2 linked regions of the Bombyx mori genome follow. The protein of the gene in region 2 purifies or fractionates together with the protein of the main gene of each other region. This does not show direct contact. Links are inferred from orthologs where the notes say so. Each region holds a gene or a part of one and is shown on either strand. Other genes may lie near its edges.

Region 1 (4,566 bases), on a different chromosome or scaffold from region 2:
TATCTACCTACCATAGTCATTTGTTGGTTGCGTTACTTTTCTGAGAATTTTTTTTCTATTTTTTGCAAAGGTATTTTTTCATCCTGAACATTGTTCGTTTTTTTTACATTAGCATTTATTTAAGTTAAAAAAAAACCTTTTTTCTATTTCGTGAATTCGGTGAATGAGTCCACAACCCCAGATGATTCGGGTAGCCCTAGGTAACCTAAGGCTCTGGTAACTTTAGTGTAGTCAAAGTTTTAATAATTCTATTGGGTAAAAGCTGTCTCACCCTTGAAACGGCAAAAACAGGCAAGACGACGCCGCGTCGCGACGGTAATGCAGAATTTACATTTCGAAATTAGTGTCATGCATGTTGAACTCAGTTTCACGAAAGTAGTTTTGATATATTAATAGGCGAAAGTAATTTCGTTAAAAAATTAGTGTCGCGAAATCCACAGTATCGCAGTAAACATGGCGCCTTGAGCATCAAAGCTATATTTTGCTATATTCAATGTAGCTAAAGAAATGCTTATATACCTATAAACCTAAAAAAAGGCTATCCAGAAAAAAAAGACGTTGGTAGATTCGAGGATGGTTAACAAGAAGGCATTTAGGTGCAATGAAGTTAGTCTCTGAATTGGCAGATGAAGATCTTGAGAGCTATAAAAACTATTTTCGAATGAGTGAAGATAATTAATATAAGAAAGAGTAAAATTAATGTAACAACAAATGATATACCTAAGTACCTATGTGTGCATTAAACTGTAATAAAAAAAAAATATCTTTATTCCTCTTCGTTAATCTAACCATACTGTATTCAAATTAAATATAAAGATAAATCAAAGTCCCAGTGAGGATTTTAAATATGAATGTTACACAATCTAAAGCAGATTATATCAAAGCATAATAGTGATTAAAAATAAATTGATTTTATAAATAAAATAGCAAGGAAAATTAAATAGAACAAGAACTAAACTAATAAATTTAGATTCAGTTTATATTCAATTCTAAAACCATTACAGATCTATTTTCAGCATCGTTCAACTCTAAAAATGTCAGTCAACCTGTCAGGCCATAGATTATACACTGACAGGCGTCTCAAATATATTAAGTGTATAATCTATGCGTATCATGCTTTTAAATCATTACGAGACTTTTTTAGCGGGAACGCGAGCAGTGAAGTTGTGTGATTTGTTTTATTTTGTCTATTTAGTGTTTCTTCAGGTTTAAATGTGTAATAACGGTGGTTTATTAACTGTTTAATATCTGTGAAAGTGCACAAATGTGGGAAAATGAAACAAAGCTGCTGGACGTAACTTCTCGTGTTCCTCCAAAAAGTCCACTGAAAAAATCTCAGTAAATGACCACCATTTTACTGCGATTATATTTCATCCCATATCATCTCATTTCATTAAATTTCATCCCAGTTGATTAATGTCTCAAATTAATCATCTTCATTTCATTTCACTCCATATTATCATTTTTCATAAAATTAAGAATATAAAGTAAAATAAGACATGACTTAAAGGTCTCAGTTACCCGGTCATAAAAACTCTTAAAAAAAAAAAACATTACGAGACTTTTTGGCGGGAACGCGAGGAGTGAAGTTGTGTGATTTGTTTTATTTTGTCTACTTAGTGTTTCTTCAGGTTTAAATGTGTAATAACGGTGGTTTATTAACTGTTTAATATCTGTGAAAGTGCACAAATGTGGGAAAATGAAACAAAACCGCTGGACGCAACTTCTCGGGATCCTCCAAAAAGTCCACTGAAAAAATCTTAGTAAATGACCACCATTTTACTAAGATTATTTTTCATTCCATATCATCTCATTTCATTTAATTTCATCCCAGTTGATTAACGTCTCAAATTAATCATTTTCATTTCATTTCACTCCATATTATCATTTTTCATAAAAATAAAAATAAGAATATAAATTAAAATAAGATATGACTTAAAGGTCTTAGTTACCAGGTCATAAAATCACTTAAAAAAAATCATTACGAACTGTGATCACGAATATTAATTTACAACAAATCAACAAATCCAGTGCACGTGATTTTTGAAATTGCAGAACTAATTAAATTGTAAATTTTGTCTTTTCCATAATAAAATAATAAAACAAATATGCCGAAATCAAAAAGGGATAAGAAAGGTAAGTGACTTTTTAAAATCATACTTTAGCAGAGTGGCAATCACAGAACTTAGGGTTAAATTTGGTACCCTATGGCATTATTTGGATGTCAAAATAGATTGTATTCCGTAGATTTAATTTACGAATGCGACACTACAAAAAATCGTTCTAACCTTAAAATTGTCACCAAAAAGGGGTTAGGTGTGCTAGGAAAGTCTATTCTCTTTTCTAAAACTCCCAGAAGATAGTGAACAGCCTGTAAAGGTGATTAAAATATAAACAGCTTTCCATGCAGTATCATGCACATGTGAAACAAAACATCCAAGTTTCAAGTAATGATCAGTATCATAATAGCCTTCGCAAAATCCTTTTCATTTTCTGCCTTGAAATGAAAGTAAGCGAGTACTTAAGCAAATAAATCATTTTTAACCATTTGAATTACAATCATATAAATATAATAATTATTACAATTTCAGTGAAAAAAATCAGTATATCATACCTTAAATATTTGATTTCAGTATCACTTACAAAAACCAACAAAAAAGGTTTAGTACACAAACAAAAAGTCATAGAAGAAATAAGAAATTCACTGAGCAAATATGAACACATATTTTTGTTTACCATCAATAACATGAGAAATACAAAATTAAAGGACCTACGGAATGATTGGAAGGATTCCAGATTCTTTTTTGGAAAAAATAAAGTAATGGCTATTGCTCTTGGTAAGACCAAGAGTGATGAAATAGAAGAGCAACTAAATCTGGTGAGTGTATGTAGCTTAATTTAGTTTTGAGTAAAGCTGAATTGTGAAGACTGGATATCTATCATCAACAAAATATTTTAGAAGACTTTGACTTTGACTTACTTATTTCATCATCTTATATCTGGAGAACATAAATTATTAAATTGTGAACAATTTATAAGTATAATTTGAGAGAGAAACTACTAATTTGTCTTAGAAAATGGCATCCTGTCTAAATAATGTCTTCAAGCACTTCAATATTGAAAATTAATAAAGACAGTAAGAGTTAAAAGTAAAGCTATTGGATTTTTGTGACATCCAGCAATAATAAACTTCTATCATTTAGCGCATTAAATGTTTTAAATAAAGTTAATTTATGTTACAGTTATCAAAAAAATTAAAAGGTCAGTGTGGATTGCTAATGACAAATAGAGATGTGCCTGATGTACTGAACTGGTTTAAAAGTTATCAAGCATCAGAATATGCAAGAGCTGGCTTCATTGCAACAAAAGATGTTTTATTACCCAAAGGTCCTCTAGCAGATTTTTCACACACTATTGAGCCACATTTAAGACGTTTGGGCTTACCTACATCTCTAGAAAAAGGTGTTATCAATCTAATAAAAGAATATCAGGTAATGTGAAACACATAGTATTCACTAATATTTAGTTATTTTAATAGGTAACATTTGTGTTCATAGTGAGAGACCTGCTTAAAAACATCGATTAAAGTGAATGAATCAATAGACTTGAAACATATATGAATTTAAAAAATCATCAAGTTGTAGTAAAAGAAACCGGCGCTAGTCCACCAAACACTTACAAGTGACTTTTTCTGATTCAATTTCCGTTTAGGGCAGGATTTGGCTGGGTCTCCAGGGCTCAGCCATTGTGACGAGCGTTTCCGATTATCGTACAGTATCCACACTGGGGTTGTAACCCTTTCGGCCTCAACAACTCCAAAATCTATAAGAATTACCAAAATACAGACATTATATGTTGTACAGCAGTCAAGCACAACATTTTACTTAATTTCAAAATTTTGTAATTAGTTATGTGTTACTTAATACCTCAAAGTGTTGACATTATCGAAACATAATGTAGGCTGAAGTTTTAGTTACTGTGGTGTAAGTAATAATGGCAAATTCGTTTTGATTTTTTAGGTTTGCAAGAAAGGTGCTCCACTGACCCCAGAACAAGCAAGTATATTAAAATTGATAGGCATAGAAATGGCAGATTTTAAGTTAGTGATTAAATGTCACTGGACAAAAGGAAAAGGTATCCATATAGACAATGATTCTCCAAGTGATGAAGAACAGGCAGAGAATGATGATCATCAAGAAAATGTACTTGTAGACGAAATAATGGAAGAGACATAACTATTTTATTTAATCACAATAAATTATGTTAAGCATTACGTTTTTTTTACTAAGGTCAGGAATGATTTGTACATAATACTGCAAAATTACTTGCCAATTATCAATACTTCATTTTAAACTCAAGTGTAGGTTTTGCTTACATTTTTGTTTGGACTATCTTGTTTACTGTGCTAAATTTGAATTGTTAGGTACTACAAATAAAGTTATCCTAGATAATAAAAATCTTAAGAGAAGAACACTCTGGCACACCAGCCAGTCACTAACTTGTACAGGGTTAAACTATCCTTTATGGTCCGTCGATTATTGGGTCGGGGTGAGAGTGGGGGAGGGA
Region 2 (4,291 bases):
ATTTTCCTTTTTCCTCAAAACCTCATTACTGTAACTTCTTTGCGAAGCCAGTCGGTGTTTAACTGTTTGCCGAAAACCATTGCGCAGTCTTGAATACATGGTTTGTTATTTGTGCTCTTTATATTCCTGGAACATATTTTCACTCACAGTTTTCGTGCTTATACAAATAATTGTTATTTTTCATTAATTCGTTAAAACAAAAAAATCCATGAATAGAAAGAACCTATTTAACAGTTTCAACAAAAATAGTATATTAAAAGAACTGTTTATTTTTTTAATTTTTGGGCATTTTCGAAAAACAAATGAAACATGATGCAATTTATTGATACTTACTGTTGAAGGATGCTGTTTTAAATCTCAATTAATAATCTTCGCAATTTTTTGTTTTCAGTTTTCTTATGTTACTGAATCCAGTTTAATAGTATTTATGTCTTTTAACTTTTTAATGTTAAAATTCAATTTCTGTTTTCTAACCTTACAAATTTACAGTCGGCTTATTGACAGTTTAGAATTGACAATGACGGCTTGTGACTTTTTTTTGTCACTCGGATAGGCGAAAGAAACATTGACGAACATCCTATACGACTATTAAATGTGAGCTAAACCCATGCCATGTAAGATAGATTATAGTGCTCAAGGATTTAAGAAAAAAATGTCTGACTAAAATGTTAGAAAAACTCGAAAAAGTCACGACTACTAATTTTTTATTCTGCAAATTTCTGCACTTTTATAGATACTAAACGGTTTTATAGGTTTATTTACTAACTTAAAATGTCGCTTTAAAAGAGTTTCTGTTTGAGAGTCACAGAACGTATTTACATTTACAAGTTAGTATGCTCACCGCGTGGCCATTCGATATTAATGAGTATTTAACAGTATAATTGAGAAGTAAATCCATTTTTTTGGGATAATCATTATTAATCCTTGTACTTGTACATTATCAGAATCAGTGTTTTTTTTGGATGTTTAAACATCCTGTATAGTAAAAGAGAAATAATGGGAAACTTGTTTTTTTAATGAAATTAACAATAAAGTCACAATCAGAGAAAAATAAATAAAAAACTGCTTGAAAAATAATTGACTGAAAATCTATTTAGCTCTTAGTAAATTCTCTTCGTTCTGGTCATTTCATTTCACCTACAGTTTTCTCTGATCTCATTTCTCTTATCTTCATTTAATACTTTCTTAAATTTATAACGCACTTTTCGGCCTTTGTTACAACATACTCACGTATAGGTTATATTTCTTTGCCTGTCCAACGAACAAATCAAATAAAAGGAAATCAGTATTGTCAAATATTCTTTTCAAACACGTGTTTACGTGTAATGCTCGTTATGAGCGATTATGATACTAAAATAGCACTAAATTAAAACAAAATGAGTTTGTACAACTTTAAAAAGATTGCTGTAGTCCCTACAGCTAAGGTAAGCGTATAACTGTATGAATCCCACAAATGTATTATGAAAACCATCATCTTATTGATAAGAATGTTAACCTCGAAATTTTGTTTTTAGGACTTTATAGACATAATTTTATCGAAAACACAAAGGAAAACTCCTACAGTCGTTCACAAGCATTATAAAATATCAAGAATACGTGGGTTTTATATTAGAAAAGTGAAATATACCCAGCAGAACTTCCACGACCGACTGTCCAGAATTATTCAGGTAAACAGCAACAGCGTTATAGTAATACGCAAAAGTAGCTACGTCACATCGAAAAAATAAATCTACAAATGTGTACATTTCCCAATTTTTTTCTAAATTTTTATTGTTCTTGGTTAAAATCTTAGTTTTCTAGAGACTCATACTGCTGGTGCCAGAACAATCTTAAAGAAATTTAAAGTTTCATTATTATTTTTTCACAAAACTATCTTCATTCTGATGTATGCTTCAACTCTCTTGAGTTTAGTTCTGATGCTTTTTCAAGACATTGTGTTACTTAAATTAAAAAGAAAATGTAAGAATAATCAAATCTCACAAGCTTCTGACTTGTTCATCTATTGAGCTGGGTATATTGATGTAACAGACTGACATATATCATAAATAAGTTATTAAACACATAGATTAATAAGATAATGTTTACAGGAATTCCCAAAGTTAGATGATGTCCATCCATTTTATGCTGATCTCATGAACGTATTGTACGACAAGGATCATTACAAACTTGGACTCGGACAGCTGAATACAGCCAGACATCTTATTGACAAGTAAGTCTCGATGATGTCACAAACTCTCATACAATATTAGTGTAAACCCATTTACAAATAAATTCCTTTAAAACTAACTTCGAAGGGCAGCCATTGTACTGTAGATAACTGAGACCTTAGAACTCATGTCTCTAGGTTGATGACGGCAGTTACACTTTAAATATCTTTGCGCTCCGGTAACCTCTTAACACCAGGTGGGCCATAATCTCATTCACTCTTCTAAGCAACAAAAAAATATATTAGTCAACTCTGACTAGAGATCTTTTACTAATTACCAATTATGTATTAAGCAGAATTAAAAATTTTTATTTTTTGATTACTAAATTTTTACCACACAATGTTTTTCCTTCACTGTGAAAGTCATTAGTGAACATTTGTGATGTGTGTTTCTCATTAGAAAAATTGTTCCTTGCTTCTGGGGTTCGAATACCAGCTCAGTCAGATCGTCTTATCTTTTAGGGCATGATTACTTCATATTTTATTCACATCCTTAATGCTTCATTTACAGTGTCGCAAAAGACTATGTGAGACTGTTAAAATATGGAGATTCGTTGTATCGGTGCAAACAGCTCAAACGTGCGGCTCTGGGTCGCATGGCCACCATCATGAAACGGCAAGGAGCTAATCTTACATACCTGGAACAGGTATGTCATACTTGTGATGATTCAACAATAAGTAGATTACAATCATAACGTTGCTGTCACATATTCTAGTAGTATTAAAGTGGTGTACTCAAAGGGGTTCATTCCAATATGAATGTTTCTTGCAGATATAGACAGTGTAACAATAGCATAGAGTAGCTTTTATAATTCTTCCAGATTTCATTTCTATGTACACTAGACGATGACCGATGACGTTTTTTTTTTATAAATTATGTTGTTTAGAAATTATATTTAAATACGAATCACATATTGATAGAATGATGAAATATCCCAAGCTCGTTTAGGCATTTTTAAGTGAACACGTGAGTTAAAAAGACAAATAATATAAATAAACAATTCATTTTCTTGGTCTAACCTTAAACCAAACACTCATTGGCTTCAGGTGGCTTAACAACGCTATCTGCTGAAATAGCTTTATTGTTATTGTGTCTTTAAAGCAGTTAGTTGCTGTAAATTATGAAAAATAGTACATATTATTATTCGCCAATAGATGTCGGGAAGAGTCATAAAGTTGATTATTGGTGAAGTTGATTATTGAAAACACGAATAAAACAACATTTTCTGAAAATAAATCGTAGCTAGATCGATTTATCGCCCCAGATTTTTATGAAAATCGTGGAGCCGTTTCCCAGATTCAAATTATATATAGGTATATACAAGAATTGCTCGTTTAAAGGTATAAGATAATTGTATTTAATGAATAAAAACCAAATACAACAATATTTTCTAATGTGGACTGTATTCTTTTGCAGGTCCGTCAACATTTAGCACGTTTACCATCGATAGATCCCTACACCAGGACGATAATCATCTGTGGATTCCCAAATGTCGGAAAATCAAGTTTTATTAATAAAGTAAGCAATGGAATTACTAATGATAAGACATGAGTCCCCTTGGATTTGCTTCTGTGCATTTGTACCATCAGTACCATCCAATATGAATACAGGCCTATCTCTCTTGATCACTGATATAGAGATCTATTTCAACAATTTAGTGTATTAGTGAGGGTGCTTGTTATCTTTTTAATTAAAAGATTGCTAAGTGCGGATTATATGAGTCGTCTATTATCAAAGGCGGCAATCTGTGCATTTGGACAAAAAAAATTTATTGATATGTCAATACAGATTTATTTGAATATAATCGTCTCCTTCAAAGAATACGGTTCAAAACCTGCATTAAATAAAGGTTAATAGTTATCCTGTTATTTATCTAAGATGTCGTTCCGAAGAGTTTTGTGACTGCCAATGGAATACAAAGTCAATAATTCGTTTTTCTGATTTACCAATCATTGTCCAAAAGTCAGATTGCCGCCTTTGATAATAGTCGACTCATATGAAGAAAGACACACAATGAACTGATTTATTACCCAACACATGTGCTTAAGTTCATTATTAAATAATAAACATTATCTATCGACCAT

Evidence for each region.
Region 1: the proteins of nucleolar GTP-binding protein 1 (region 2) and mRNA turnover protein 4 homolog purify together in Homo sapiens (affinity purification with mass spectrometry; 3 studies listed by BioGRID and IntAct, counting the BioPlex papers as one, with this or other methods). This does not show direct contact. The link is inferred for Bombyx mori from reciprocal best matches to the Homo sapiens genes GTPBP4 and MRTO4.

Annotation. Positions count from the first base shown.
Region 1 is NC_085111.1:7,659,738-7,664,303, reverse strand, and holds mRNA turnover protein 4 homolog, read left to right. Parts: upstream 1-1,564; 5' UTR 1,565-2,108; coding exon 2,109-2,136; intron 2,137-2,288; exon of another isoform or gene 2,289-2,371; intron 2,372-2,633; coding exon 2,634-2,878; intron 2,879-3,242; coding exon 3,243-3,491; intron 3,492-3,679; exon of another isoform or gene 3,680-3,822; intron 3,823-4,019; coding exon 4,020-4,235; 3' UTR 4,236-4,270; downstream 4,271-4,566. UniProt on the Homo sapiens protein: Component of the ribosome assembly machinery. Nuclear paralog of the ribosomal protein P0, it binds pre-60S subunits at an early stage of assembly in the nucleolus, and is replaced by P0 in cytoplasmic pre-60S subunits and mature 80S ribosomes.
Region 2 is NC_085108.1:531,255-535,545, forward strand, and holds the start of nucleolar GTP-binding protein 1, read left to right. Parts: upstream 1-1,263; 5' UTR 1,264-1,376; coding exon 1,377-1,424; intron 1,425-1,514; coding exon 1,515-1,667; intron 1,668-2,087; coding exon 2,088-2,209; intron 2,210-2,717; coding exon 2,718-2,853; intron 2,854-3,623; coding exon 3,624-3,725; intron 3,726-4,291. Other genes in the region: presequence protease, mitochondrial, read right to left, coding at 1-99. UniProt on the Homo sapiens protein: Involved in the biogenesis of the 60S ribosomal subunit. Acts as a TP53 repressor, preventing TP53 stabilization and cell cycle arrest.